Drosophila melanogaster: one gene and its partners. The protein of the gene in region 3 purifies or fractionates together with the protein of the main gene of each other region. This does not show direct contact. Each region holds a gene or a part of one and is shown on either strand. Other genes may lie near its edges.

Region 1 (10,567 bases), on a different chromosome or scaffold from region 3:
GCGGACTGATGCGCGAGCGCAAGTGTGCGGCCAGCAACGGAGCCACTCCTGAGGACGAGACGCCGGTCTCGACAAGCGTGCATCAGTGAGTACAAGGGCTATGAATTCGAATGGGTGATGGATATCATCAATCGAGTACTTCATCTTATTAATCTTCAGGTGCATCAGTGCAGCCAATCCACCTGTGATTGTCCACTGCTCGGCGGGAATAGGACGTACTGGAGTGCTCATACTGATGGACACTGCGCTGGCTTTGATGGAGGCTCGAGAACCGGTGTATCCGTTGGACATTGTGCGCACCATGCGCGATCAGCGTGCCTGCATGGTGCAGAATGTGGTGAGTACTGCTGGATAGGATTTACGTGTGGGTTTCCTATAATCGTGATCTTAAATTCCAGAGCCAGTACCGCTTCGTGTGCGAGTGCATCTGCGCCGCCTACATGAAGATCTCACGCAGCAGTGCGGCCATTAACGACGACGAGGATTAGGGGCAGGACCATCTAGCTACGCAATCAACAATCTTCCGCTAACACGCCCCAAGTTTTTCTTATTCTATACGAAGCTTCGTCTAAATCTATTTAATTTTTAGATCCCGTAGACATATGTTTAAAACTGATTGTATATCATTACAATTACAAAACCCGTATATTGTATTATCAACTCCGTTCATAAGGTATCCCCAAATACACACTTATACATTATCTCTCCATCAGTTGCCGAAAGTGCTGCAAGGAACGATTCTAAATTTACAAAGCCACCACGGAATGGTTAACGACGTGAACCAACTACCTAATCGAAGTATACAAAGCGAAACAAATGGCAATTTATTTACACCCATCCAACGCTACGCGCCACCCATAATTGGCGGTCGATAACAAGACGCAAAGAGCAACCGAGAATGCGAACCTTATACACTGATAGACATGAGAAGATAAAACTGTTAGTATTTTAGCACCAAATCAATTCATAAATGTATTTATGCTGAACAAAAATCCAATAAAATGTGTAATTAAAAAACGAGTCTTTTATTTCTTCAGTGGGGAGCCTTGTGTGTTAATAATTAATTTCGTACATTTTTCCAAAATATCTGCCGAGGTTGGCGCCAAAAAATTGACTTTGCCTAGAGATGAAATATTTAAAAACTATAAAATATCGTTACACGTTTACTTGTACGAAAATTTATGAACTTTTGGAAAATAAGTAGACTTGATTGTTTATTGAATTACTATTATTATACGACTTTTTAAATAGCATAACAAATATTATCGAGCGAATATAAGAATCTAACGAAAGTTATTTGAAGGTTGGGAGTGTTTGACGCATGCGTCTGATCCCTTGGACCATCTTTAGCTTTGCATTGGCTTATAGATTTTAGTCGCGAGATGAGTTGCCCCGGATCCCTTAGAGGTTTCCACATTCCGCACCTTGCACCGGGAGAGACCCCCAAAATTCGTGTGGATAGTGCCTGTATCGAATCTCATCCAGACGCAGAAATTTCGACCAGTAACAGGTTGGTGGCACCTGGTAAGCGAACGGACAAGAAAGATAATGGGTCAATCAGGACGAACATGAAACGGAAGGCTAAGTGCATGGAGGAGGATTCGTTGAAGGCTAACGGCGATTTGGCCTTGTTTCCCGGACGCGACGAGAGCTATCCGGAGGAGTTGAACAGGCTTATTGGACCACTGAACTGTCAGCTGTGTAAGGTGCAGATGACCTCGAGGAAGCGCGCCCGGGATCACTACGAATCGAAGGCCCACGACCGACACATCAGCGCCTGGCTGGCCAAGAACTACACGGAGGTGGGTCTGGAGGCGCCTCCAGTGAAGCGGCTGGCCAAGCAAGGACCAACCGGCCCAAACGCCTTTCACTGCGAGCTGTGCAATCTGGACCTTACCTCCTCTATGCACGCCCGCCAGCACTATTTAGGTCGGAAGCACAAGCGTGTGGAGCAGGGCGTCGCGAAGCCCTCCGGAGCCAGGCACTGTGATACATCTGTTGGTCGTTACGGCATAGGGAGTCTGTTCCGCAAGCCGGAAAGTTTAACCAAAGATTCCCCTACGGACGTATTAATATCAGAGAACAGCGTGATCAAGTCTGACGATAATGAGCGCACCTGCCACCTGTGTAAAATAGTGGTCACCTCTGCTGCACAAATGCAGGCCCACTTGGCTGGAGCCAGGCACCAAAAGAACTGGAGGACCTCCCGGCAGGATCAGAATCATTCGGAGGCGCCGATCCCTGAAACGGAGAAATTAGATGCCGCGGAACTGGCCTTGTATCGCACTCCAATGGGTCAGTACTACTGCCAGCCCTGCAACATGATGATGAACCATGAGAGCACCTTGCAACAGCACTTTATTGGCAAGAAGCACCTGAAGAGGGTAAAAAACCTTTCCCAAACTGAGAAGAACGTGTAAAGAATTTATTTGATATACCCTAAGCCTAAGCCATGACTTCCCGTTAGCAGTAAAGCTTCCTTAATAATAATGACATTCGAGTTTGGGAAACAGCTATTTTGTTTAAGAAAGGCATTATAAAAACCGTAATTTGTTATCATACCCATTACTCATAGAGGGGTATATTAAACTCGTTAAAAGGAATACAAATTTCTATCGATATGCCAAGATAATTTTGAAATTTCTCTCTCAAACTCACTCCCACTATCTGGTATCTGATAGTCGAGAAATTCGACTATAACATTCTTTCTTGTTTAAAAAAATTGTCTAAATTTAGGGATTCAAAAGTGGTTTACCGATGATAAGCTTTCTTGAGCCCCACTTAATATGATCACAAGGTTTAATTTCTTTTCTGCATTTATTTTTAAAATTATTCGCCGTTGTTATTTCGTAGATAAATCGGTAGTGGTCAACTTTTTTTTATTAACTGTCAGGCCAAAAACAAATGGAATTTAAAATAGTTCAAATCAAATTCGAATACGAAAATAAGTGTTGTATTTTGAAAAAGAAAAAAAATTCGTAATTTCACACCATGGCCGAGGAGATAGAGGTTGAGGAGACGGAGGACTTCCACGACATGGACTTCAATGACGAAGAGCCATCCTGTAGTGGAGGAGCTGTCCAGGCCAGGACGGAGCGCTTTGTGGTGAAGAAATGGGTTGCGCACGCCATGTGGGGATGGGACGTAGCAGTGGACAACTGTGCCATCTGCCGTAACCACATCATGAACCTGTGCATCGAGTGCCAGGCGGACCCGAATGCAAACCAAGACGAGTGCACTGTGGCTTGGGGCGAGTGCAACCACGCATTCCATTACCACTGCATCGCGCGCTGGTTGAAAACGCGCCTGGTCTGTCCGCTGGACAACAAGGAGTGGGTCTACCAGAAGTACGGCCGCTAGCGAGGAATATGGATCGGGATATTAGGTGGTGATAGCTGTTTGCTGGCATGTAATTACTGTAATTAAATAAGAACGGACTTGGGTTCCAAAAGAAGGTTTACGCTTCCTGGTCGGGCAGGAGTTGCTGGGCCGTGGGCCTGACGCCAGTTATATGTTCGATTTGAGAGTAAAGCGAATCGCGCTCCTCCACTAAGCTAGCGTACTTTTGCTGCAGCTCCTTCTCGCGGTCCATCTGGCGACGCACGTCCTCTTGCAGCGATTCCAGGCGTCGCGGCACAGCGATGGCCTCCTGTTCGCCCAAAAAGCGGAATGTCGAGAGTGAGACAGAGTTCTGCTCAATCTGGCCGTACGTGTCCTGAAGCTGCTTAATCAGCACCTGGGCGCGCGCCTGGTAGCCGCCGGTGAGAATCTTCAGCTTCTTCTCGATCTTGCCGCAGCGCTTGGCTTCCTTGGCCATGTGGCGGCGATTTGTCTCCAGCCGTTTCTCGGCAGACTCTAATCGATCCTTCTTGCTGGCCAAATTGGCGCGTGTGTAGCGATGTTGGGAGGGTAGGTAAAGAACCTGGCCGAGGCACTCCTGCCACACCTGGGCATAAACGTCTAGGGGCAGTTCGCCATGCGCCATGCGCTCCTTCACCACCTCCATTTCCTCGGTGAGCATTTGCTTGGCCTTCGCCAACTCTTGCTGCGAGATGTCCTCGTAGGGATTGGCCTTAAAGTAGCTTTGTAGCTGTTCCAACTTGTGCTGCGATTGACCAGGCACGGGATCCTTGACCGAGTCGTACACTGCCAAGAAAAAGGACGTTAGTTACTTGGGTTAAAATGGAAACGTTGGGTTTACTCACGCTGCATGGTGATCATTTCGTGTTTAATCAGCTCTTCGGCCTGCTGCTGTTCCGTAAGGTTCTGTTTCTCGGACTGCGGTCGCAGAATCTTGGTGTTCACTTCAGTTGGTCGCGGGAGACTACGCTGAATAACCTGGGAGCGCTTCTCTAGCTCTCGCTTTCGGCGCGCCTCTTGTTCAGCCAATAACCTGGCGTCGACATCCGCCTGATCCTCGACGGCGGGTTCTGAGTTGGTCTCAATGCGTTCGCTTTCCTCCTGCTCAGGCACCACGATCTCATAGTCATTCCGTGGAGCGGGCAGCGTGGAGAGACCGTCACGCAGTGTAGACTTTAGTTGCTTTTGGTAGTTTTTGTAATGTGCTGGGGTCTCGGTGACGCCCATACTCTCCTCAGGATTGATGCTTAGCTTGTCCCTCACGTAGGCAGGTGTATTGACGACACCCGTAGCCCCTCCTGCCCCCTTTACGGGAACTAGGGCTCCGGAGGAGGGCGTTTGGAATCCGCCGGGAGTGGCTGCTCCGCCCTCGCGTTGGGTTCTAAACGGCGTGGCAATCACTGTGTTAGGCGTGGCGATGGAGGCCGCCTTGGGCAGCACGCCGGAGAAGTCTGACTCGTGCAGCGGTGTGTTCAGGCCACCTTTGAGTGGCGTCTCTGTGTGGGTGAGGGCCATCATGTTTTGGGCCTCCTGCATGATGCGATCGGTGTACGGAGCCGGAGTACGTGGAGTGGCTGCTACCTGGGGTGTAATGGAGTAGTCGGCTAGCAAAGCATCCGTCGTCTCTATGCCGCTCTCACCGGCAATTTCCTTTGCCATCTCACTGGCGCGTCCCAGCTTGACTACCTGCTGTAGTTCCATGTCGGAAATCTGCGGCGTAGGCAGGACTAGTTTGGAGCGCTTCCGCTCGGGCTCCATGTTTTGCAGCATTGCGGTGGGCACTTCATTCTCTTTGCGCTGCTTCAGCTTCTGCTTGTCCCGCTTGCGTTCGCGTTCCTCCTTCTCTGAGCGGAGTTCTCCATCTAGGTCCTGCTGCCGCATCTTGTTGAAGTCGGGTTCATTTTTCTGCAAGTGTTCCTCGGAAGTGTCGTAGAATCCGTGGGCAGGTCGCTTTTCGAAGGGAATCTCGGCGTTGTAGTCTATTCCCTTGATCCGCTTGCGATTTCCGCTGCCAATTCCGGCGGCACGAAGTTCGCGCCGCTTTTGGAGAGTGGCCAGGCGGCGGGCTTCCTCCAGTTGCTTTTCGCGAGCCTTGCGCTTGGCTTTCTTGCCTTGCGTGTTGGCCAAGCGGGCGCGTGCCTCGGACAGCATTTCCAGCTCGTCCTCGTCCATGTCCTTGGGATCGGGCCGCGCCGGCTTGGTCTCTGGATTGGGGTCAATCTCTCCGGGCTTCAACTTGCGAGGATCATCCATCGTGTCCTCGCCATCCTCTTTGCGTTGGGCTTGGTCTCTGTACGGCAGGAAAGGGATCAGAAATTTTCTACTTAGTATGTTGTGCGTTGGACTCACAGCAAGTACTCATAGCGCTCCAGGCACTGGGCTGCCGTCCGTCCGATGATCGGGGCTATGGTGCGCCACTGCGTCGGCATCAGCTTGGCCAAGTGGAGCAGTTTCTCGTCCTCCTCACGGGACCACTCGGTCTTCTTGATGCTGGGATCCAGCCACTCGTACCACCTGGCCTTGCACTGCTTGGCGGACTTTCTGTGCAGGAGGGAGGCAATTCGACTCCACTGGTTCTTGCCATATTTCATAACCGCAGCTTTGAGGATTTCATCCTGGGAAAATGAAATCGGTAGCCAATGTAAGCCATGTGTGGTTAACCGATAGACTATTGGGATAATTACCTCCGTGTTGCGCCACACGCCGCCCTTGATCATTATTCGCGGCATTCTGGGGCCTTATGTTGCTTTCTGTCGCGTATACAATGGATTTTCACAATTTTCACTCGAGTCCACGAAACTCCGCTCTTTTTTTTGCAGTAGCCGCTAGCGATGGTTAGTCTTCGATAACAGCGATATCTCCAGCACGTTTTGGTATATTTATAGAACCTCTAGTTAAACTATTCTAGCTTAGTACAAAAAAATTTCATTATATTGTATTTAGTCTTCGTATACCGTTTGATTTAACTTCGGTCTTAATATTGGTAACTTAAATTATTCAATTTAATAAAGGGCCTATACACACGACATAACATAACGCGACAGTGTGACCGAATATAGTTGTGCAAACACCGCTGCCACACTGTGTACAGCAACAGCTGTTCGCTATCAGTTATTTTGTGATGAAAAGTTTTTTTTCTGCGTAATGCCAATTTTTGTGATGCGGAATTAAGAGGCGTGTGCCCAGGAAGCGGAAAACCGGCAACCGGCAACCGGAATCCGGCACCGGGAATCAACTGGACCAAGGAAGGCACCCACGATGAGCGATGCGACCTATCCGGGATATTACGGCGGCAACCAGGTGAGCAACCAGCGAGTACCTCTGGCCAGAAAAACACGCCGTGTGTCTTCCAGCTGCTCCCGTTGTCGCATCCGCATCCTACACATCCGCACCAAGACCTGTCGCTTTCCACGCCGGTTCACTCCTTGGAGCAGGACTCCAACTTCGGGGGATTCTTTGACGAAGAGCTGGTCATCGGATCGGGATCCGGATCTGCCTCCGCGTCTGCTGCAAACACCACCCCTTCTGGAACTACTTTGTGGCTGGCCGATGGCGGGAATCGATCACCTACTGAGGTGGCGGTGGAGTCCCAGCCCAATCAGGGCATTCCCTTTGTCCAGATCCACACCACCGACTTGCAGCAACCAGAGAAAAGCTACCGCAATGCCTTCCGCAGGCGTACAGCGGAAATTAAGTCGGAGGAACTAATCAAGTCGGAACTTGCGGAAGCGGCAGCCAAGGATCGCCTGAATGCCACGCCAACGCCACCAACTCGAAATTCCAGCTGCGCCAGCGTGGAGGGCAAGGCAATCATTCAGGAGGGTCCGCCTCTTATCCTGCGCTGTCCTAATTGTCCATTCTTAAGCCTCTGCCAGATGCGTCTTCAGCAACACCTTAGTCAGGGCAACTGCTATATGGAGCAGCACAGGAAACAGTGTCCAGGTGAGGCATAGTGCGCCTTCAATATGAGTGCTCTGCTGGAATGCTTCATCATATTTGCATTCACTTTTCACGTGTTTTTCGACAGGCTGCTCAAACATTTTCTACACCAGCGATGCGCTCAGCTTGCACCTCAGCTTGGACCATCAAATGGAGGACAGTGAGACACTTGCGCTTATGGGCAGAAAAGTCACTGAAGCACAAACTAAAAAGCAGACTCAGATGTCGCAGAGCCAAAATCGACCCAAGAGCCGCATCTTTATAAAAAGCGTAGATTGCCTAAGGGAGCCACTCCCGGATTTCCCGCCCTTAATGCCGGATAGCGGGTCCGCCGCTAACATTCTTGATCTGCTGGAAGGTGTGGCTGTAGGTGCATCGCCGACCGAACAGACAATGCCAACAGCACCTGCTGCGAATTTACCAGCTCCGCCGCCAAAGCCCATCCAGAAGATCTCCATCAAGAGCGTGGACGTGCTCAGGGAGACCGCTTTGCTGCCGTTCGACTTCCAGCTGCAGAACCATTCGGTCAATACGGACAATAGTCTCCCTGAAGTTCCTGATGTTGTCGGGGAGCCGGAGAAGCCGCGCCAGCCGAAGATTTATATCCGCAATGTAGACATCCTCAAGGAACCGATGGTTTTGCCATCTGCTCTGCCCGGTCTGGGATTCAATAGCACCATGCCGTCGGCAGCAGAGCCAGGACAAAGTGGCCTGGTTGTAGGAGGAGCAGATGGTGATGTCTTCCAGTCGGAGACACTACTAACGCCCACGTGTCAGCTTCCAGGATTCGAGCCCAGCCTCGCCCCGCTCGCACAGATGTGTTCCGAGGCATTTCCCTTTGATTCTGTGCTGAATGGCAATGGAGCACCTGCCGCCCATGTGGAAAACACACGTTTTAGTGCTTTGGACCTTGATTTTGGTGTGGATTTTGTTTCGGAAGAGGCAACTCCGCCACCTCCTCTGAATGATCCACTGACAATGATGGAACCACAACCTGTCCAGCTGGAGCACTACATGCCACCTACGGCTCCCATTACGACCAAGCAAAAGATCTTCATCAAAAACGTGGACATTTTGAAAGCACCGCAGAGGGGCACCTTGCACCTGCGCACTGTGGACGAACTAAACCTAATGAATCGCACCGAGGTGGAGCACTTAATCGTGCCCAATCTAGAACCGATGGCAATGACCATGATGGAGCTTCCGCCCGTGCAGCAGCAGCCAATGGAAGTAACTTCACAGCTCAAGGGACCAACGGAAACGCTTGGCGAATTTCAGCCGTCTATTAGTGAAAGTTGGCCTAGCGAGGATGGCTATGACCTACCTGAGGATCTGGAGTGCTGGCCGTGGATGGAAGATGCTGTACCAGAAGCTGGACTCGTTCTGCCTACACCCAGTGAAGTGGCTAATGCTCCCCCACTCGATGGTTTGTCTCACAATGCAGTGGATCTGCTAGTCAAGGATTTTTCGCATTTGTACGCCGCACCACCGGAGGACACACAAAACGCAGAAGAAGGAACTGCAGCGGGAGGACGAGGGACAGTGCCACCTCTAGTACCGGTAACATCTTCGGAAGGGACAGCCTCTGTTGCTCAAAGTGCAGCCTTAGGTAGTTTGCCGGTTCCGCCGCTGGTTCCCTTGGCAGCCGAGATGAATGCTGCTATCGAAAAGCCAGCCCGCATCTATGTGGCCAATAATCTTCTTCCCGCCGCCGTGGACCCACCGCTTCTTGGAGGCGGCACCTCGGTCAGGGGCCGTCCCTACGGAGCGAAGCACTCTGGTGGAGCAGCTTCCAAAAGAAAACTCTCTCTGGGCCCAAATCAAGTGCCAGAGGGAGGCAAGTGCCTTGTGGAGGGCTGTATGTTCCGTTTCAAATCACCCGTAACTTTGGAGTATCACGGCAGATGCCACAATGGATCCCTCAGCTCAAACCAACCCGTTGTGTGCCCGGAATGCAAGTCCAGCAACTTTAGCAATTGGAACTGTCTGCATACGCATCTCTGGCGGACCCACCAAATCGACATGGAGCTGTACTCCTGCCAGCTGTGCAGCTTTAAGACGCCCATCTATTCGCGTCTCGTGAACACCCACGCTAAGATCCACTCGGAGGAGCGAAACTATAAGTGCGAGCAGTGTGGCAAGGGATTTAAGAACACCAAGCAATTGAAGAATCACCGTCGCTTGCATCGCACTCAAGGATTGGGCATGGGAAAGCAGTCGAACGAGCAGATTTCCGTGGGACCAGAAGGTAATCCCGTTGTAATGCATCGCTGCGAAGATTGCGGCGCCGCCTTCAAGCAGAAGAAAACCCTAAGGGAGCACCTATGCAAAGAGCGAAACGAACAGCTGGAATGCCCCGAGTGCCAGCGCCGTTTTGGTTCTAAGAGCAGCCTGAGACTTCATCTTCGGAGCCATCAGGAGCATAAACGTTTCCGCTGCGACACCTGTGATCATGAGACCAGCGATCACAATGCCTATCGCCGCCACCTAGCCACGCACAAGGAGAGTAAACGCTACTCCTGCCCGCACTGCGACTTCCGAGCCATCCAGAGCACCGCCTTTCGGGTTCGATAGATTTCTATTAATAATTAGTCAAGTTTCTAATAGTCTTGCTCTCCGTGGACAGATACACCTTCAGACCCGCCATCCTGAACAGGAGCTGTCCACAATCATTTACAAATGCAACCAGTGCAACTTCACCAGCATCAATCAAGGTCTGTTGCAGGTTCACCAGGCCAAGCATGACGCCGGAAATCACAATCAAACTTTAGCGTCATCCCAGGGTGATGTTCCGGTGGAGAAACAATCACAGATCAAGGTGGAGAGCAATTTGGTGCTCGCTCATTCCAGTACAAAAGTGGCTACGGAGGTGATCAAGGCTCAAGAGAATATCCTGCAGGCTTCCTAGGGACGAGTTCCTCCCTTCTGTACATATTTTAGAAGATAGATTGCGCGAGAACAAAGTGCCGCTTAGTTTTAATCGAGTTTTATACCAAAACTGTACCAATGTTATTAGTGTTAAGTACGCAGGAAGTCACAGTAAGGGGGAAAACTCCAATTCAGATGCTTGATTCCTTTGGAAGGATGATAATGTTGATGGATTGGATCTTTTCAACTGAAGACTGTGCAATCCAAGACTTCGGAATTCTCCGAAGATAATTCTTTTGACTTTTACGTTTTTCTTTTTCTGTATATGTTTGCCCTACAATTTTAAGGACCTGTTGCTTTACATAAGTATGTATATAAAGGTTAATTGGGGAAGGCTTTA
Region 2 (11,103 bases), on a different chromosome or scaffold from region 3:
AGGCCCAGATAAACAATCATTAGGTGAACATGAGTGGCTTTCGCCAAATGAATGACACACAAAACTCGGAAACTCCTTGTGAAATGAGAGTTTTAGTAATTGAGAGCAGATATTACCATTAGTGTATTAAACATAATCTCAGTATTATAAGAGCACGATCAATGGGTTTCAGATATTTATTGTTGATTTACTTAGATGTTACTTAAAGCTATGAGGGTAATATATAGCACTACCATCCCATTGGTCCTCTAGGCAGACCAGGCCCACCTCTGTGATGGTGATCCTCGGGTGGAGTCTGGGGCGTGTGGTAGATTCTCCTGGACTCAGCCATGCGCTGGTTGTAGCTTTGAATCTGCTCCTGCAGCTGAGCATCCTCCTGCTGGGCTCGTTGTTCATCGAACTCCAGGCAGGCAGCGCCATCCAGTCGGTCCAGATCCACCCAGCCCCGGAAGCGGACGCACACCCCGTTCATGATGAAACTAGAACGCAAATGAACTTTGCCCCGCTCCCGCTCGAAATCGCAATCCTGCTCCTGGGCGTACGGATTGTGGTTGGCGTTGAAGTAGAGCTGCAGATTAGTTCCTGAAGCTACCATCGATATCTCCGCATAGCCCTTGCGGCAGTCGTTGACAAACCGCATCCTGCGCTCCTCCATTGCACGTTCCCGGTATCCTGTGTAGCGAACCTCGCTCTCCCTACTCAATCGGCGGAAGAGCTCGTCGCTATCGAACTTGGACCTCTGGTCAGGCACCACGCGGGGCATCTTGAAGATGAATCTGGGCTTGGGCTGCTCGTACATAGCCATGGCTTCGTATGGCGGGATCATTCCATTCATGGCGGCCGCGTCTCCGAGATTCTGGTGATGATGCATGTCTAATGTTATAACTGTATTCTCCGAAAGATATAGTTGTACTGATCAATGTTAAAATTGACCGCCTTATTTAAACAAAAAAAAAAAGTTGTAGAACAGGTAATCGGGAGCGATTGGGCTACCTAACGAATCCCCTAATTGTCGCCTGGTAATCAAGGATGGAAACCATCTGGACACAATAAGGATCAGGTATAGCACTTATAAGTATCCTATTTGAGGTTTGTTTTATAATCCGTAGGGTTTTTACAGCTCCGAATATTATACTTTGAGGATTGCAGGTATAATGCTATCATAAATAAAACGAACGAATTGAACGCACTATATAATTTTAAGTTTAAATTCGAAATTACGTTTTAGCGGTAATTTTAACAGTGTTGGTTAGCACAGCGCTTAAGCAAAGGGAGTTGCCAACCATGGCAGCCCAAGCAGGTGACAACTCTAGAGTCCGGGCACATTAAACAGCTGTTGTGTATTGTATTGTTTAACTTTAGCAATTTTATAAACATGTCGCTTGTTGCTTATGCTGCCAGTTCTGATGAAGATTCGGAGAACGAAGAGGAAAATTCTGTACCACAAGTGGAAGTAATAAAACCCCAAGCCAAGCCGAGCACACCAAGTGAAGCGTATCTAGCTCGGGAATCAACCAGTGGTCACATTAGTGATGAAGATGACGACTACGTTCCCCAGGAAGTGTCCCTTCAGGAGTTAAAGCCGCCCAACGGAAGACTGCTATTAGCCTTACCCAAACCAAAAGTCACTGCTCCCGCTAAGGATCTGGAAAATGAGGATGTGGACAACCAGGTTACTTCCGCCTTTGCCAACCTGCCCATGCCACGAACAGCAGCGAAAGGAAAAGCCATTGTAGAGGAGAAAGACGATGAGTTTCTGCACAAAAAGGCGCTGCCCGTAGAAATAGAGAAACCTCCACCGCCGCCAGTCAAGGGAAAAGTAAAAATCAGCATTCCTTCACTAAGAGATTTCTCAGATGTAGACCAGGAGAAAGCTGACAGGGCTAAGAACAAAGTTGATAAGCCCAATGTACCCAAGGGATCGGGATTGTTGAGTCTGCTGCCCCAAGCAAAGTCGGAGCGCAACTTCTCCAAGAACTCTTCATCCGCGGTAGCCTACCCATCAGCCAGCACTACTCTTGCTTCCAGTCTAAGCAATAATCCTGCGCAGCCTCGAGCAGCACCAGCTTTTGTTCCCGATACAGTTAAGCAGCGACGAGCTGCACACAACACCGAAGGCGTAGATGGCCCTAAGGCCGGGCACAAGAAGAATCCTGAGACAAAAGACGCTTTGAAGTCAACAAAATCCAAACCTATAAGTAAACCCACTTCGCTGGTAAATGCCAGCGATAGTGAAGATGATGACGAAGATGGCACTGGAGACTTTTTCTCCCTGAATTCCGAGCAAAAGCTGCCTGAGGTGAGCAGCAACGAGATTAGCGCTCTAGTGGCCAAGCGAGCGGCCAAGATGGTGGAAGCCAGTAGCAAGTACCTAGAGGAGGTAGCCGAGAAGGAAGCAGCCGAAGCAGAAGCCGCCCGACTTCAGGAAGAGCAGTCTCAGATTGCACAAAAGCGCTACCATGAGCAACAGTTAAACGCAGAGGCCATGGACGCATTGGTGGGCAAAAATGCCAAGCGCCGGCGGAAGGAGGCCAAGGAGATGCAGGTGATCGACATATCTGGGTCTCAGGTGCTACCTGATCGCGAGGAATGGATGCGATCGGCTCTGGCTTCGTCCACCACCTTCCAACCGACCGGCGTGCTGACGGACGAGGAGCCGGTGGCAGGGACTCGGCGCAAGCACCAGATCACCTACCTGGCGCACAAGGCGAAGGCCAACGAAGCCGAGCTGCAGGCCATGTGGTCGGCCAACCGGCAGACCCGTCGGGCCACCCAAAGCAAATACGGCTTTTGAGTTTTCACTTTATGTACACCTAATCCTACAATATATGCTTAATATTACTGTATCCAGCCCTCTCGTTTTCCCAGCCTGCTGCCAACATAGAAGATGGCGGTGCTCAGCAGCAGGATGACCGGGGCAACGGTCACGTATATGGGAATCTGTTGCGGGTACTCCAGCGTTAGGCAGATCATCACTTGGGAGGCGATGGTCAGCAGGACGCCGGCAATGTTCCATTTGTAGAGGAACAGGAGATCCGTCAGGCAGGTTAGGTTCCGCCACTTGCGGATAAATTTAATGATCACGTAGATGATAATGATCACATCGAAGAACCAGAGTGGCGTAAAGGTGACGAACCAATTCCAGGTGGTGCGTGGGTCCAGGCGGAGACACAGAAGAATCAGGAAGACCAGGACGATAAACCAAGTGAAGAGCGCCCGGTGTGCCAGTGTCATCTTTGTCACTTATTTATATATTTTCCATGGTATTACAGAAAATAAACAAAGCGAAGTTACCGTGAATAGAATGCACTTTGTCCAGTGCTGTAAAACTACGATTACAGTGGTCACTAAAAGTGTTCGTAGAAATACATTTACCAACTCAATTTTCGAATATTATTGACGAAGATTAAATATATTCAAAAATATCACGTAAAATCTGTATATTTAACTATATAAAGAAGACTGGAGAGCATGATAATTCATTCATATTCATGTGTGTACTTTTGAAAACTTATGGTTCCCAGTGTATGCACATCTGCCAACGCTGGCAACACTGACTGGGTCGCGAAGAAGAAGATAATTGACGTGTCACAATTTCGACGATTGGTTGGTGTTTTTCATAAAATTAATTGTTGGCAGTATATTACGTGTTACTTGTAGCGTATCAATAAAATGGGTTTGTTCTAACACCCACCTCTTGATGTTTTGATACAGGCAAGTGCTCGAACCAGCAAAAAAAGGGCGCTTGACGGATAAGCCGACACCTAGAAGTGCATCCAATTTGAGACACCTACAGGCAGAACAGAAAAAGTGCCACCATGCTGACCAACTTCGAGTCGAAGTCGGCGAGGGTGAAGGGCCTCTCCTTCCACCCTAAGCGCCCCTGGATCCTGGTCAGCTTGCACAGCGGCGTCATCCAGCTGTGGGACTACCGGATGCACACGCTCCTCGAGAAGTTCGACGAGCACGACGGACCGGTGCGAGGCGTGGCCTTCCACCAGCAGATGCCGCTCTTCGTCTCTGGCGGCGACGACTACAAGATCAAGGTGTGGAACTACAAGCAACGCCGATGCATTTTTACCCTCCTGGCCCATTTGGACTATGTGCGCACGGTGGCTTTCCACCACGAATACCCATGGATTCTGAGCGCCTCCGACGATCAGACCATACGCATCTGGAACTGGCAGTCGCGCAACTGCATCTGCGTGCTGACGGGCCACAACCACTATGTGATGTGCGCCCAGTTCCATCCCACGGAGGATCAGATCGTTTCTGCTTCACTCGATCAGACGGTGCGCGTGTGGGACATTTCGGGGCTGCGTAAGAAGAACGTGGCTCCCGGGCCCGGTGGGCTTGATGACCACCTAAAGGGTCATCCGGGTGCCACTGATCTGTTTGGCCAAGCAGATGCCGTGGTCAAGCACGTGCTCGAGGGCCACGACCGTGGCGTCAACTGGGCCAGTTTCCATCCCACCCTGCCGCTGATTGTCTCCGGTGCCGATGATCGCCTTGTGAAGTTGTGGCGCATGAACGAGTACAAGGCTTGGGAGGTCGACACCTGTCGCGGTCACTACAACAACGTGTCCAGCGTGTTGTTCCATCCCAGGCAAGACCTGATTCTCTCCAACGGCGAAGATCGCAGTATTCGCGTCTGGGACATGACCAAGCGCCAGTGCCTCTTTACATTCCGGCGGGACAACGAGCGCTTCTGGATACTTACAGCGCATCCGACCCTGAATCTGTTTGCAGCTGGCCACGATGGAGGTTAGTTGATTTCTTTTAGGAATAGGAATTTTTTGTAATGATACATATTCTTTCAGGTATGGTGGTCTTTAAACTGGAGCGAGAGCGTCCTGCATATGCTGTCCACGGGAATATTCTCTACTACGTCAAGGAACGTTTCCTTCGCAAACTGGACTTTACCACCACTAAGGACACTGTGGTTATGCAGCTTCGACCAGGCAAGTCGCCGGTGTACAGCATGTCGTACAACCCAGCACTGAACGCCGTGCTAATCTGCACGCGCACCAACAACCTGGAGAACAGCACCTACGATCTTTGCCAAATCCCCAAGGACACCGAGAGCCAAAGTGAGTCGGACAGCAAGCGAAGCTCTGGAATCACGGCCATCTGGGTGGCACGCAATCGGTTTGCAGTGCTTGATCGCAACCAGCAGTTGGTGATCAAGAACTTCAAGAATGAGGTGACCAAGAAGTTGCCAACTTTCTGCGAGGAGATCTTCTATGCCGGTACGGGAATGCTGCTCATTCGGGACCCTGAGTTTGTCACACTGTACGAAGTTCAGCGCCTAGTCTCCGTTGGAAGCATTAAACTGGCCAAGTGCCGCTACGTGGTGTGGTCTCCGGACATGTCCTTGGTCGCTCTACTCTGCAAGCACTCGGTTACAATCTGCGACCGAAGACTTCAGTACTTGTGCACCGTGCAGGAGAACTGCCGCGTGAAGTCTGGCGCCTGGGACGAGTCTGGAGTGTTTATCTACACCACTAGCAACCACATTAAGTACGCCATTACAAACGGGGACCACGGCATCATCCGTACGCTGGACCTACCCATTTATCTGACACGCGTCAAGGGCAACCAAGTGTTCTGCTTGGACCGGGAGTGCCGCACCCGTGTGCTCCACATCGATCCTACGGAGTACAAGTTTAAGCTTGCCCTGATTCAACGCAAGTACGATGAAGTACTGCATATGGTGAGAAATGCCCGCCTAGTGGGTCAGAGCATCATTGCTTACCTGCAGCAAAAGGGTTATCCAGAGGTGGCACTGCATTTTGTCAAGGATGAGAAAACCCGATTTGGACTCGCTCTGGAGTGCGGTAACATCGAAATTGCTCTCGAAGCAGCCAAGGCTCTCGATGACAAGGATTGCTGGGATCGCCTGGGACAGAGTGCGCTGCTCCAAGGAAACCACCAGGTGGTAGAGATGTGCTACCAGCGGACCAAGAACTTTGACAAGCTTAGCTTCCTCTACCTGATCACCGGCAACTTGGAGAAGCTCAAGAAGATGAACAAGATTGCCGAGATTCGCAAGGATGTTTCCGCCCAGTACCAGGGTGCCCTCCTTCTCGGTGACGTCAAGGAGCGGGTAAACATCCTCAAAAACTGCGGACAACTTTCGTTAGCTTATCTCACAGCCGCTACTCATGGATTCGATGAGCTCACTGAGTCCCTGGGCGAATCGATAACCTCGCAGGGTAACAGCCTTCCCGAGGTGAATCCCAATGCCCAGTTGTTGCAGCCACCAGTGCCCATCCAGCAGCTTGAAACCAATTGGCCGTTGCTGTCCGTGTCCAAGGGCTTCTTTGAAGGCGCCATGGTCACCAGGGCTGGCTCCAGTGCCACTGCCCGACAGGCGCTGAACATCAACGCCGATGCTGCACTGTTGGACGAGCATAATGGTGGTGGAGATGGTTGGGGAGCGGATGCCGACTTGGGACTAGATGAAGACGGAGATGACGAGATGCACGACGCGCTGAGCAACGATGGCGATGGTGGTGCGGGTGGAGAGGAGGGTGCCGGCTGGGATGTGGGCGATGATGACCTGGTTGTGCCCGAGGAACTGGCCTCCAAGATCAAGGCCTCAGCCCTCGACAGCAACTACTATGCGGCTCCCAACAAAGGCTTGTCTCCTGCCCAACAATGGGCCAACAACTCGCCTCTGGTCCTGGACCATGTCAAGGCCGGATCATTCGAAACCGCCTTCCGTTTACTGCACGATCAGCTGGGAGTGGTCAATTTCCAGCCATTCAAGACACTCTTCCTGCAGAACTACGCCTGCTCTCGAACGAGCTACACGGCCAATCCGAATCTGCAATCCCTAAGTGGTTACCCACTTCGCAACTACTCCGAGACAAACATCAAGCTGCAGCGTCCTGCGGTTGGCATTAAACTGAATGATTTGGTGGCACGCCTGCAAGCTGGGTACCAACTGACAACTTCTGGAAAGTTCTCCGAGGCAGTAGAGAAGTTCCATTCCATCTTGATTAGCATCCCACTGCTGGTAGTGGACACGAAGCTAGATGCGGCGGAGGCCCAGCAACTCTTAAGGATCTGCGCTGAGTATATCGTTGGCCTGAAGATGGAGACTGTGCGCAAGGGCATGCCCAAGTCGACGCTTGAGGAGCAAAAGCGTCTGTGCGAGATGGCCGCCTACTTCACGCACTGCAAGCTTCAGCCCGTGCACCAAATCCTCACCCTGCGTACCGCCCTCAATATGTTCTTCAAGCTGAAGAACTACAAGACGGCCGCCTCATTTGCCCGTCGTCTCCTGGAACTGGCGCCACGACCGGACGTTGCCCAGCAGGTGCGCAAGATCCTGCAGGCCTGCGAGGTAAATCCCGTGGACGAGCATCAGCTGCAGTACGAGGAGTTTAATCCGTTCACAATCTGCGGCATCAGCTGGAAGCCACTGTATAGGGGTAAACCCGAAGTGACCTGTCCCTTCTGCTCCTCCTCTTTCGACCCTCAGTTCAAGGGCAATCTCTGCACAGTTTGCGAAGTGAGCCAGATCGGCAAGGATAGCATTGGCCTGCGCATTTCAAACCTGCAATTCCGCTAGGACGGACTAGCTTGTCGCTTTTAATATAAATGTTTCCAACACGCCGAGCGAGACCCCATAGTTTAGTTTTACACGATCCTTGCTTATTATGTATAAAGTTCAGTATCTGTATATTATAATGCTATAAAATCAAACCAAACGACTTGTTTTCTTGATCGATACCTAGCCTCGGTAGGCAATTCCCAGTGAAGAGTCTTAGTCACTCTGCTTAAAGGTGGAAATTCCAAAATGAACAATGCCATATAGATTAGTAATTATGTATTTTAGTTAAAGATACGACACTAATTTCACACTAAGTTGTAAGTATAATACCATAAAAGCATACGTAAAGTAAGCATTACATCTAACACTAATCTAGGAGCATAATTATTCGAGCGTGTCTAACGTAATCGTATTGAAATCTCTCAAGTGAAAGCCCTCTTAAGGGGTTCGGAGCATTCTCAGTTGTCCATGAAATATTGAGTATTCGCGAATTGAGTCTCTAACTGCTGGTGATGCGTCTGCTGCTGCTGGGGAGGCAGCTGCGGATGGGACGGCCCAGGAGCCGTCCACAGGTCCAACTAACGACGCCACATGCTGGCGCCAACGCCAATGCCTCCGGAGGCCACGCCCCGTCGCACTGCCTCCATCTCGTCCTGTCGATTGTCACGGTAGGCGCGCTTAGTGTCCTCGAACTCACGCAGTCGCTGGTTGTAGCGATCGATCTGATCCCGCAGAATGGCGTCCTCGTGCATGGCGCGCCGCTCGTCATACTCCAGACAGCCAACTCCGTCCAGTCGTTCCAGGTCTATCCATCCACGGAACCGGACACAAACCCCGTTCATGATAAAGTAGGACTTGATGTGCACCTTGCCGTGCTCCTTGTCAAAGTCGCACTCCTTGTCGTGCAGGTACGGGTTCTGGTTGGCGTTGAACACCAGCTGCAGATTGGTGCCCGATGCCACGAAGCTGGCCTCCGTGTGTCCTTCGCGACATCCGTTCATGAAGCGCACCTGCCGCTCCTCGATGCTTCGTTCCCGATAGCCCGTGTACCGAACCTCGCTCTCCCGACTGAGCCTCCGGAAAAGTTCGTCGCTCTCGAACTTGGACTTCTGGTCCGGGACCACACGAGGCATCTTGAAGATGAAGCGCGGCTTTGGCTGTTCATACAATCCGATGGTGTCGTAGGGTATCATATTGGCAAGTGCCGCCTCGTTCATCATTTTAACGGGTTTTCGCGATTCGTCCGCTCGATGGAACGCTGAATAGGGTATGTTTCTATGGGTGCTTCTGCAGACCGCTGCGTGCACACAATAATCCCTGGAACTCGGTACCCTGGATGGGTTTCTTTTGGTCGCTCCTTCGACGAGCCTTCTGCGTATACACAATAAGCTCTTGTATCTTAGCACTCTGAATGCTAATTGTTTAAATTTCTCGCCTCCGTCGAAAAAAACAACGCACAATACAACAAAAAGGTTGGTTTGCGGTTTTGATATACCAACTGACGCGGCGTTGCCACTGGGAAATAGTGGAGAAGTCAAAACGTAGCGATGGAAGCAAAAGCACGGCACGAGCACCAAAAACTTATTCTTATTATTCATTCGAATTATGGATATAAGTCGCAAACATAACAATACATATTCATTTTACTTACCTACGGGTTTCATATTTAATTTACCAGTTTTTATATCATGCATTTTAACCATGAAACGATATCCGCCAAGGTATTCAGTCACGAGTACATCCCTAAAATAAACTATTGATGGTCTGGCAGCACGATTACATTTGCCCGCAATTTTCAACTTTATTTTTCCCTTTTCTCTAAGGGGTTTCGGTAAAAACTCGATGCGTACTCAACACGCCACAAACTAAACACACATAGAACACATATTTCACAATTGCTTTTGGAAAAAAGGGCGATAACGGGTACATCCGATTTCCCGCTCGGAAGAGAGCCGCTTCGAAAATACTAACGGTTTAACTTTATTGGATCGGTGCACGGCCACACTGGCGGCGTGTTTACCAAAATATATAATTTGGATCGCACAAACAGGTGATATATACCGTCATTCCTGTCCGATATGAGTGACAACCCCGCCGCGGAGAACGAAAAGCGACCGCAGTTCGGAACCCGCCTGCTCACGGATGCTGACGACGTCTTCAAGCACAATGCTTGGTAAATATGGGTGGCAAATCCTCCGGAGATTGGCCAGCAAAAGTTGGGAACACACTCGCCAGCGTAAAAAACCGTCGGGAGCGGGCAGCCGGGTGCTCACCGACGCGCGAGAGGTGTTCGAGTTTAACGCCTGGTACTTATCTGCCGTTCAGTACTCATGAAAATCCCTCTAAACATGGATTCACAGGGACCACGTGCAATGGGATGAAGAGCAGGAACTGGCCGCGAAGGCGGCTGTAGCCAAGAATTCGACCTCAAAGATGGAAGCGGAGCAGAAGGAGCGATTTCAGACAGACGCCCCCAAGTTTTGGGATTCCTTCTACGGCATTCACGACAACCGCTTCTTCAAGGATCGCCACTGGCTGTTTACGGAGTTCCCCGAACTAGCTCCTCTGGCGGCGGATTCGGCGGTACTGCAACCACGTAGCATTTTCGAACTGGGCTGTGGAGTAGGAAACACAATTTTACCCCTTCTACAGTACAGCTCTGAACCGCAGCTCAAGGTTTTCGGATGTGACTTCTCCGCCCGGGCCATTGAAATCCTGCGAAGCCAACGGCAGTTCGACGAGAAGCGCTGCGAGGTGTTTGTCATGGATGCCACGCTGGATCATTGGCAGGTGCCCTTCGAGGAAAACTCACAGGACATTATTGTGATGATTTTTGTGCTGTCCGCAATTGAGCCAAAGAAAATGCAGCGGGTATTGGACAATTGCTATCGCTACCTGCGTCCCGGTGGCTTGCTCCTCTTCCGCGACTACGGACGATACGACCTGGCACAGCTGCGCTTCAAGAGCGGCAAGTGTATGGAGGACAACTTCTACGTGCGAGGCGACGGCACCATGGTGTACTTCTTCACGGAGGAAGAACTGCGGGGTATGATGACTCAAGCGGGGCTGCAGGAGGAGCAGCTCATTGTGGACCGAAGACTGCAAGTTAATCGCTGTCGCGGCTTGAAAATGTACCGCGTGTGGATTCAGACAAAGTTCAGGAAACCGCTTTAAATCAATTTAGACGAATAGTTCTGTGCATTTTAAACCTTGTTCAAATCAATTGATATAATTATTTACACGATATATTTAAAAATACAAAGTTAAAACTTCAAACTGTAATATTACTAGAACTTTGAGCATTTCTTTTTCTTGATGGAAAGCCCGGCTTGTTTTTAAATTTCCCACCCCTTGGCCATCGGCACTTGGAAATCGCTAAGGAAAAGCTTCTCGCTGGAACACCATTCGCTGCTGGCCATCCAGGCAGCTTTTTCCCCAAATACACATAACAGTTAGGAAAGCTGCAAGTTTTCGCAGTTGGCCAAAAACGTCGTAAGTGAAAATTTTCCTGGTGCTGCGTAAAAAAATTCGTAAAATATTAG
Region 3 (8,413 bases):
AAACACTTTGGGTACGTACCAACTTCAGTCGCGGGTGCAACGTGCGAGAGAATCGCGCGGCACATAGGTCCCATGACGCCACGCATCATACCCAGCGTCATGCCCAGATACAGCTCTTGCCAGTAGACTGCTGTGGCTCGAACCGTGCTCTCCAGAACACAGCAAGCCAGGGAGAGCATTGCCATGGTTACGATAGACATCTTTAGAACGCGGCGCAATACCAACATGCCAACGATGCTGCCCACAATCTGGATCACGATGCGGGATGCGTTGAATAGACTGAAGTCCTTAATGGTCCAGTTGAATTTATCCTGCACGAACATGTAATTTACAGTGCTCTCTCCCTCTGAAATCATTATAAATTAACTCATATAATCTTAAGTTTGAATTATGTTACCCATGTCGAAAATGGCTATCGTAAGGGCAATCATTGTAAGCCAGATGATTGTGCGATCAAAGTTGGGGCGCCTCTTAAAGCAGGTGCGAATCAGGTCCGTGACCAAATCGAAACGGAAGAACTCACGGACTCGCGACTAAAAATGAGGGAAGGAGTGTTGAGATATTCGTTTCTTCTTAGCTATAGAAATTACTTACTCCGGTGTGAATGTCACCTGGATTTAGGCTTTCAGGTACAAACAGAAGCACGTACATCAAGGCAAACATCATCAGGCTACCAGCAATGGAAAACAACACCAGAGCATTTGTGGCAGCATAGATATAACCGCTGGCCACATTGCCCACCATTATGCCAGCACAGAGGGAGGCTTCATTGAGGACCATTCTTTCAAATAATATATCAAAATGAAATGGCATTCTTTGGATTAATAAATCAAGACTACCCATACTCACCTCAGAGCCTTCTTTCGCTCCTTGGCCACATCGGATATGTAGCAATAGATTCCAGTAATCAAGGCGCAAGTTCCGCCGCTTACGACGGAAGGAACCGAGGAAAGGAGGAACCACCATGGACTTATATTCGTGGACCTCGTTATGTAAGTGATTACTATCAGTATGAGTGCGCCAGTGAGGTAGCCTTTAAATACAATAAGAGTCATTTGTACAAGATGCAATTAAGATGTCCTGACTGATGATTATATACCCGTAAAAGTTGTCAGCAGGATTGGCCGCCTTCCGAACTTGTCGGACCAGGGACCCAGGAACAGACTCGCGAAGGCAGGAATAATGCTCTCTAGCAGAGAGGTTGTCATCATAATATTTGCAGAATACGTCTGTACTATCACCTCGACTTCCTGAAAAAACAGAAGTTCACTTTAGTAAACTGCACAACTGTACAACTGTGGATGAGTCAATGTGCCATATCTCGTACGTATAATTATAATTTTAACGCTTTCCTAGTAAATACTTCGATACTGCTTCGAAATGCAGTAACAAAGGATTTTGCTTACTTCTATTCCGGCCGTTGATAAGCCTCGACTGGCGTTCTAATTACCTTATCTCTAGCCTCCAAACAATGGCAGTTTTGCATTAGGTTGAGACGATTTGCTAATTTGATTTTACTTTGTCACGTCGGATGCTGATATAGTAAGATATACTAAGTAGGTCACGTCTTGGAAGAATATCGGCGAGCCAAATGCGAAATACATTGTTCTATACAGCAAAGGTCATAATAGTAGCAATTACTCGTAAAACAAGTTAATATTGTGATACATTAATTGTGGTTTTAAAATTGTTCAGCAGTTTTTGTAACTTAAACTTCAGTTTTTGTTTACAGTTACTGGATAAATTTGTTTAAAATTGCCATTTTCCTCATCGCCATAAAATCACAACACGAAACGCCCAGCAAAGCAGCAAAAATAATTTGCACAGAGATAAAAACCAGGCAACGAGAACAGAAACTACACAAAGTACAGATATCAAATTGTACATGATGTGTATACTATAAGGGTCAAATTAAATACTTACTTTATCCGCGTCCGATCCGCGATCAATGCCCAGCAGCGGTTCACATTGCGTGGCATTGAATTTCTCGATGGTGATGCAGGTTTGGTAGAGAATTTGGTTCTGATAAACCGCCCCTAAAACGCACACAAAGTTAATTCAATGATGCAATCCAATCGGTTTTACTGCCCTATAGCCATTATACCAATTAAATTTCTGGCGAAGAAGATTAAAAAAACTGCGGGCTCCAGGATGAACCAGCGATAGCTGCTGTAGTCATGAGGCGGCGGTACCGGAGGCGGGTCCACCTGCTCACTGCTGGCCGCAGATGATGCGTCCAGTATGCGTGGTGCCGAATCTTCGCCAGTCTCCACATCGGCCACCAAAGCCTCCGTATCAGAGCGAGGCATACTGCCGTTCCGTTCCGTTCCTACTTGCTCGCTATCGAGAACGGAACTCGTGGATGCGTCTGGCTTACACCAGTCTACCGGAGATAATGGAATTTACAATTCATTCACCAGAACGCTGCGCAGTTCCCTGAAAGTCTTCCAAACGCGACGGAGAGTTTTCAGATACTAAAGCTTCAGCTGCTTTACTGCTGATTAACGTGGATTTATTGTTGCTTAAATCCCTGGTACGTGTATTATTTTCACAAGTACAGCTGGCTGGATTCTCCCGCAGTTAACGTTACTCTATTCGAAACTTTCTAAATGCAAGCAGCAACAGCTGATTGACTTCTTCTTCTTCTGTGTTATTGTTTTGATTTCGATTTTCGATTCTTAGTGCTAGGGATGCCAACTTGCGGCGAATTGAGAGTTTGTGGTTTAAATTTTCTGACACTTTTTACTGGTTAATTAATTCAATTTATTTATAATTTTAGTAGCGTCGTCGGTCACGCTCTCCTCGCGAGTCCCGTTCCCGCTGGTCGTGACGGCCACGGTCACGTTCTCGCTCTCGTTCCCTATCCCGGCGATCTCTGTCGCCGTCCCTCTCGCGCTCCCTGATACTGTCGCGATCTTGGCGCTCTCGTTCGCGATCGTGGCGTCCATTGTTTTGCCGACGGTCATAGTCCTCGTTGTGGGTGTCCCGATTGCGCACCCTATTTCGCTGGCGGTCGTAGTCTTCCAGTTCGTCGTAGTAATCCCGGGAACGGGCGCTGTTGCCCTGCCCAGATCTTCGCTCGCGCTCCCGACTGCGGGACCTTGACTTGGAGCGAACTCTCCGTGGTCGTCTCACTGCTGTCGAATTCTCCTTAGGCCGGTTGGTCTCGTCTGCCTTCTCCTCGTCGCTGGGCAGTTCGTCGTCCAAGTCCTCATCCAGCACTGACACCTTGGGCTCGATTTCGTTGTTTTCCTCGAGAATGGAGCGCTTCTGGATGCGGGGCAGTATAATGTCGCAGACACGGTCGTTGCGCAGCAGTTCGTCAATGTACTCATCCATGTAGACAATCTCGAACTGGCCGGCGCGATTCTGGCGGCGCAGCTTTCGATTGTCTATGTACAACGGCTCCAGGTACTTGTAGCAGTCCAGGGCAGCTCCTGTGAGCCGTAGATAGAAGGCTCCCAATGCTCGAACGTACTTGAACTCCTCGTTCTTGATAAACTCCACTACGATGTCCTTTTCCGGCTGAATCTGCAGCATCTTGAGTGTGAGGCAGAGGAACTGGGTGGGCTTGATGTTGCCGCCGTAGACGCCTCCGACGAATCGCAGCTCCATTGCCTTGTCCACCAGAAGCTCCGCAGTGAGAGCAAAGCATTGCTCCTTCCAGTACTTAGAGTCGTATATCCTCGAACGGATGATCTTCTCGATGAGGTACTGCGGATTGGTGCCGTGCACGTTTTTGGCCTCCTTCACCGTGCGGTTGGCCATTTTCAGTTGAACCCTTGTTCCTTGTCAATCGTAACTCAAATAGGACTTTTCAATCCAGAAATTCGGGTATCTATTGGCAGCAGTGCAAAATGTGAAAATGCACCGAATATATTTATTTATTTTTCGGCGTTTGCTAACCAGAGTGGCCAGCTGCGTAAGGGAGAAATATGCCACTCCGCCAAGCGCATACACAAAGGCGATAACGATAGGGGACGGCAATCGGTATCGGGTGACGCATACGAACAACAGCTCCCAGACAACCAAGAAACGCAATAGCAGAAAAAAACTCACTTGTTCGCTAAATTCGGGTGAAAAAACAGATCAGCCAGGATGAGTTTCTTCGGGAAGATGTTCGGCGGCAAGAAGGAAGTGGCCCCCACCACCGGCGAGGCGATACAGAAGCTGCGCGAGACGGAGAACATGCTTATCAAAAAGCAGGAGTTCCTGGAGGCCAAGATCGAGGACGAACTGAATATAGCCCGCAAGAATGCGTCTAAAAACAAAAGAGGTATGAGAGGAGTGCGCCGAGGTCCTTGGCTTCCTAGTTGGTCACTCAAATGGGCCAAGGGGAAATGACTCATTGCTTTGTTTTTGTTGCGGCCGCGAGGCCTGCTCCCAGTTAATCAGTATCCCATACTGCCAGCAAATAGAAAACTCAATAAACAATATGTATCTCTTTGCCTTTTCACCCGCATACCATTCGATGCCTGGACGTGTCCGCAAATCGCTCAGAACGTAATATAAACATTACTTTTAATACCCAAAACAAACTCAAGCCATGCAGTAGAGTAATTTCAAAGCACGCATTGCGAATTGGCCAAATCATATTTCGGATATATACATAAGCCAGTCCTCGAAACCTTCTAATTCCTCCACTTCTCACATTTTCAGTGGCCCTGCAAGCACTCAAGAAAAAGAAGCGGCTGGAGAAGCAACTCCAGCAGATCGATGGCACCCTGTCCACAATCGAAATGCAGCGCGAGGCTCTGGAGAGCGCCAACACAAACACTGCCGTCTTGACCACGATGAAGAATGCCGCGGATGCCCTCAAGAGAGCCCATCAGAATATGTGAGTCATGGATTTGTGCCATTGTATCAACCAGGAACTAACTTTCACTTTTATGCAGGGACGTGGACAAGGTGCACGACATGATGGATGACATTGCCGAGCAGCAGGACGTGGCCCGCGAGATTTCCGATGCCATTTCGAACCCAGTGGCATTCGGCGCCGATCTGGATGATGAGGATCTCGAGCGGGAACTCGACGAGCTGGAGCAGGAGAACTTTGATAAGGAAATCATTGGCATACCCGAGCCGACGCCCACATTGCCAGAAGCACCCACAGAAGATTTGCCCGAGAAGGCCAAAGAAAAGAAAAAGGCGACAACCACGACTGCCGTGGAGGATGATGGTGAGTTCAGTCACTGCATGTGGATCTACGTTTGGTAATTAACGATTAACTTGCGTTACAGATGATCCAGACATGAAGCAGCTTTTATCCTGGTCCAACTAAATCAGAGAGCTATTGAAATCTCCTTACTGTTCTGAAGATACACCCTATCGTTTTTGTTTAATTTAATAATCAATACTGCTGTTAATTAAGCAAAATTTTAGTTCGAAGCGAGGGAGAGAATACAAGGCATTAATTCCTTTGGCAATTCAACAAATGGTACATAAACTAGGAATGTGATTTTAAAATAAACGAAATAAGCATAGTCAGGCCTCACATGAGCAAAAGTAGGTATCAACGTAGTTTCATATTTGATTTGTTTATTTTGAATAACGCTGATTGGCCATCAGGTGTATGCAGATCTAATATTCCAACAAAGAAATGTAGCTTTTTGATAAAAACCCAAATATGTTTTGTGGCACTCATCTTTCCGCAGTCTTAGCTTTGTATCGAGCGATTCAAACGAAAATAAAAACATGAAGCCTCTCGACTGCAGGTAACTCAGTAGCCGCGAGAGGCGCAAAAAAACATCAACTAAAATATTTTATTTATATACACTTGTTCCTTACAAGCAGGTTCTGAATAAAACCCCCCAAATGTATCTTTCTTTGTCTTATCAACGCGCGGATAAGAGAACATCTTATCTTACGAAAAACCCACAATACCACTATTTTAATCACGATACACCTTTAAGTTGAATGCATTCTTGTGTATACTTTTATTGCAAATCGATCGGGTGTACATCAATGTGATTTTAACTATGGCTTGGGCAATCTATCTACTACGGACTTTGCTAGTTGGGGGTAGTCAAGTAGGATGGAGGCGCTCAGGTCTGCTGCCTCAGACCCTTTACATATCGCACCGGAACCTCTGGCAGGTAAACGCAGACGAAGAACATCAGTGGTCCGAACGCAATCATGCAGATCAGCCAGTAGATCAAGCCCAGGATTGTGATGGCGTCCATATAGAAGGAGGAGGAGAAGGGATCGATCGGACAGCACGTACAATGAATGTCTTGTGTAAAATCGTAAATAAATAACTAGTATCACTAAACACCGGACTCGTCCAATGGAGATGGTGCAACAAGGCAAAAGGCGGTTGTTGCCAGTGACAACGCTCCGATGTTCCTAATAGGGTATCAGATATATATATATAGCTGCAGGTCACTTTAGACACGGATCAGGACTCATCCGACTGGTGCTCCGATCCACAATCATCTGTTAATCTTCAAGCGCGCCACCTTAAACGAAATGAAACGAGAGTTGTTATTGCATCAATTGTGGTATGGCAATTGCTAACGCGATCGCGAATCTTACAGCGTGCTGAGAGAATGCCCAATGGTAACTGCCCAGCTGCTCCACTGAATCACGCACTTATGTACACACCACCTGGCAAGTCCCACGCCCAGATTGGTTATTTTCGGGGCTATCCCCGGACACTAACATTCCCCGATCGTGGCTTACTCAGCTGTTCGCAGCGCCAGTTAATTCGCAACTGATTCTTAACTGGTTATGCAGTTCCAGACCAGATCCCCCCAAAATATCAATATCGCCCACCTCGCTCAGAGCTCAGAGCCAACCTGGCCGAGCGATCTACGTTCAAGGTGAGCCAACGAATGAATCTATGACCGCACAAACTGGTTTGCCAGAACATCGGCTAGAGAACGGCGGCTACGCTCCTCTGGCATTTAATTAATCCCACTGATCGAGCTTAACCCCTGTTCATTCGAAAATTGCAGGCATTGAACGGCTATCTGGTCGGAAATTACTGCACCCTCCGAAGCCATTTACTCATGGGCTACTACGTCTGATAAGGCGGTTGCAAGATAATCAAAATATTCCCTGTGCCAAGTAAACAGGGCCATAAACTACATAGGAACTGCTCCAAAAACGTGATAGAAATGGAGAAACTAGGGAATACGAAGGGAAAAGGTACCCTGTGTGCTACTAGACTGGTTTATATAACAACATTGGGGTCATTGATCGAGCTATTTGACCAGATTATCCACTATATATACTTTATACTTTCCATATATGTATATGTATATAAGTAAGATACAAGTAAGTTACTCTCTGAGGCTACGTAACTATGTGGGAAACCTGCTTCAATGATATAAAAGATTAAAAGGATCATTTCAATCTTATCTTGATTACAATTTCTTATTCATTCATCCCTTGAATACAAAGATCTTTTGATTAACAAGCTAATCTACTATGAATCATTCTAATTAGTGCTTAACTATTTATTTTCTGAGTAGTGGTATCTATTCTTATTTCCAATTTGGAACTGCCCAACGGGAACACAAATAAAGATGTCAGTCAACTCAAATTCCTCCTATCTAATCTGGCCCTTAAAAGAGGTTTACTCCAACCAACTCACATGATGTAGAAGTAGTTGTCACTGTCCTTGCGCTTCGCATCGCACGGATTGGCGCTCTTGCTAGAGACCGAGCTGGTGGCTCCTGGCTCGGGATCCGTGTGCTGGGAGCTGGTGCTCCAGCTGCGACCCCAGCGGCCGGCGACTGAGGAGCCGGGCACATTGGCCTGCCTGTTGCTGGACAGGCTGCCATCCTTGGTGGAGCCGGCGAAGAACGACTTGACGCTATCCATGGTGCGACCCTCGCTACAAATCTGGTTCCGATTGGCCGTCTGAGTGTATGTGCGTCGAGCCTCCGCAAAAACGGCCGAAATTGATAAAGCTAAAAATATATATGCGAAGACACCATAATTTATTTATTTTGTCTGAAATCTTGTTTTTTTCGGTGGGCTCGTGCCCCTCTAGCTGTTTCCAAGTGCGGGGATCTTCTCCTCCGGCCGTCGTACGATCCAAATTGAATTTATTTAAGGTGCGGTTGGAAAACAAGTCGGGCTATTGATAAGCTCTTGGTATACATCTATTATTATCGTATCTGCTCCAGGTGGAGTGGCCATCTTGGAGCTTCATACTTGTTTTTTTTTTTCACCGATGGAGGCTCTTTGTGCTTCATCCGGAGGGGAGTATGTGTGAAGAGTAGGCTGATCAAACAGGCTTTGGGAAAACGGCAACTAAGTGGCAAATGCGACGCAGTTTCAACTCGAATCTAAATATGTAAGTATACACATACGTATGTACATATGTAGGTGTTGCCGCATACATATTATCAATTAGCAGTTCAGAACAGTTCACTGGCTAAGCAGATCGCTGATAACGTGGTCG

Evidence for each region.
Region 1: the proteins of Prp38 (region 3) and Cdc5 purify together in Drosophila melanogaster (affinity purification with mass spectrometry, with the first as the bait; one large-scale study listed by BioGRID). This does not show direct contact.
Region 2: the proteins of Prp38 (region 3) and alphaCOP purify together in Drosophila melanogaster (affinity purification with mass spectrometry, with the first as the bait; one large-scale study listed by BioGRID). This does not show direct contact.

What each region holds. Positions count from the first base shown.
Region 1 is NT_037436.4:355,040-365,606, forward strand, and holds Cdc5 (cell division cycle 5), read right to left. Parts: upstream 6,345-10,567; 5' UTR 6,090-6,344; coding exon 6,045-6,089; intron 5,976-6,044; coding exon 5,710-5,975; intron 5,651-5,709; coding exon 4,206-5,650; intron 4,147-4,205; coding exon 3,458-4,146; 3' UTR 3,361-3,457; coding exon of another isoform or gene 2,992-3,360; 3' UTR 2,812-2,991; downstream 1-2,811. Other genes in the region: Ptpmeg (protein tyrosine phosphatase Meg), read left to right, coding at 1-85, 160-337, 399-488; CG1231 (uncharacterized protein), read left to right, coding at 1,383-2,420; Roc1b (regulator of cullins 1b), read left to right, coding at 2,992-3,360; CG1233 (uncharacterized protein), read left to right, coding at 6,619-6,660, 6,714-7,302, 7,388-9,864, 9,926-10,207.
Region 2 is NT_037436.4:1,637,673-1,648,775, reverse strand, and holds alphaCOP (coat protein (coatomer) alpha), read left to right. Parts: upstream 1-3,576; 5' UTR 3,577-3,606; exon of another isoform or gene 3,607-3,714; 5' UTR 3,715-3,818; coding exon 3,819-4,764; intron 4,765-4,820; coding exon 4,821-7,579; 3' UTR 7,580-7,710; downstream 7,711-11,103. Other genes in the region: Bro (brother), read right to left, coding at 230-871; CG17249 (uncharacterized protein), read left to right, coding at 1,376-2,794; CG13919 (uncharacterized protein), read right to left, coding at 2,839-3,234; Bgb (Big brother), read right to left, coding at 8,140-8,781; Mettl2 (methyltransferase like 2), read left to right, coding at 9,704-9,867, 9,922-10,735.
Region 3 is NT_033778.4:9,139,483-9,147,895, reverse strand, and holds Prp38 (pre-mRNA processing factor 38), read right to left. Parts: upstream 3,941-8,413; 5' UTR 3,769-3,940; coding exon 2,776-3,768; 3' UTR 2,745-2,775; downstream 1-2,744. Other genes in the region: CG30344 (uncharacterized protein), read right to left, coding at 20-346, 398-533, 595-781, 850-1,033, 1,100-1,250, 1,924-2,036, 2,105-2,309; shrb (shrub), read left to right, coding at 4,099-4,276, 4,660-4,837, 4,896-5,179, 5,241-5,281; CG44286 (uncharacterized protein), read right to left, coding at 6,045-6,182; CG8788 (uncharacterized protein), read right to left, coding at 6,446-6,458, 7,598-7,827. UniProt on the Drosophila melanogaster protein: Required for pre-mRNA splicing.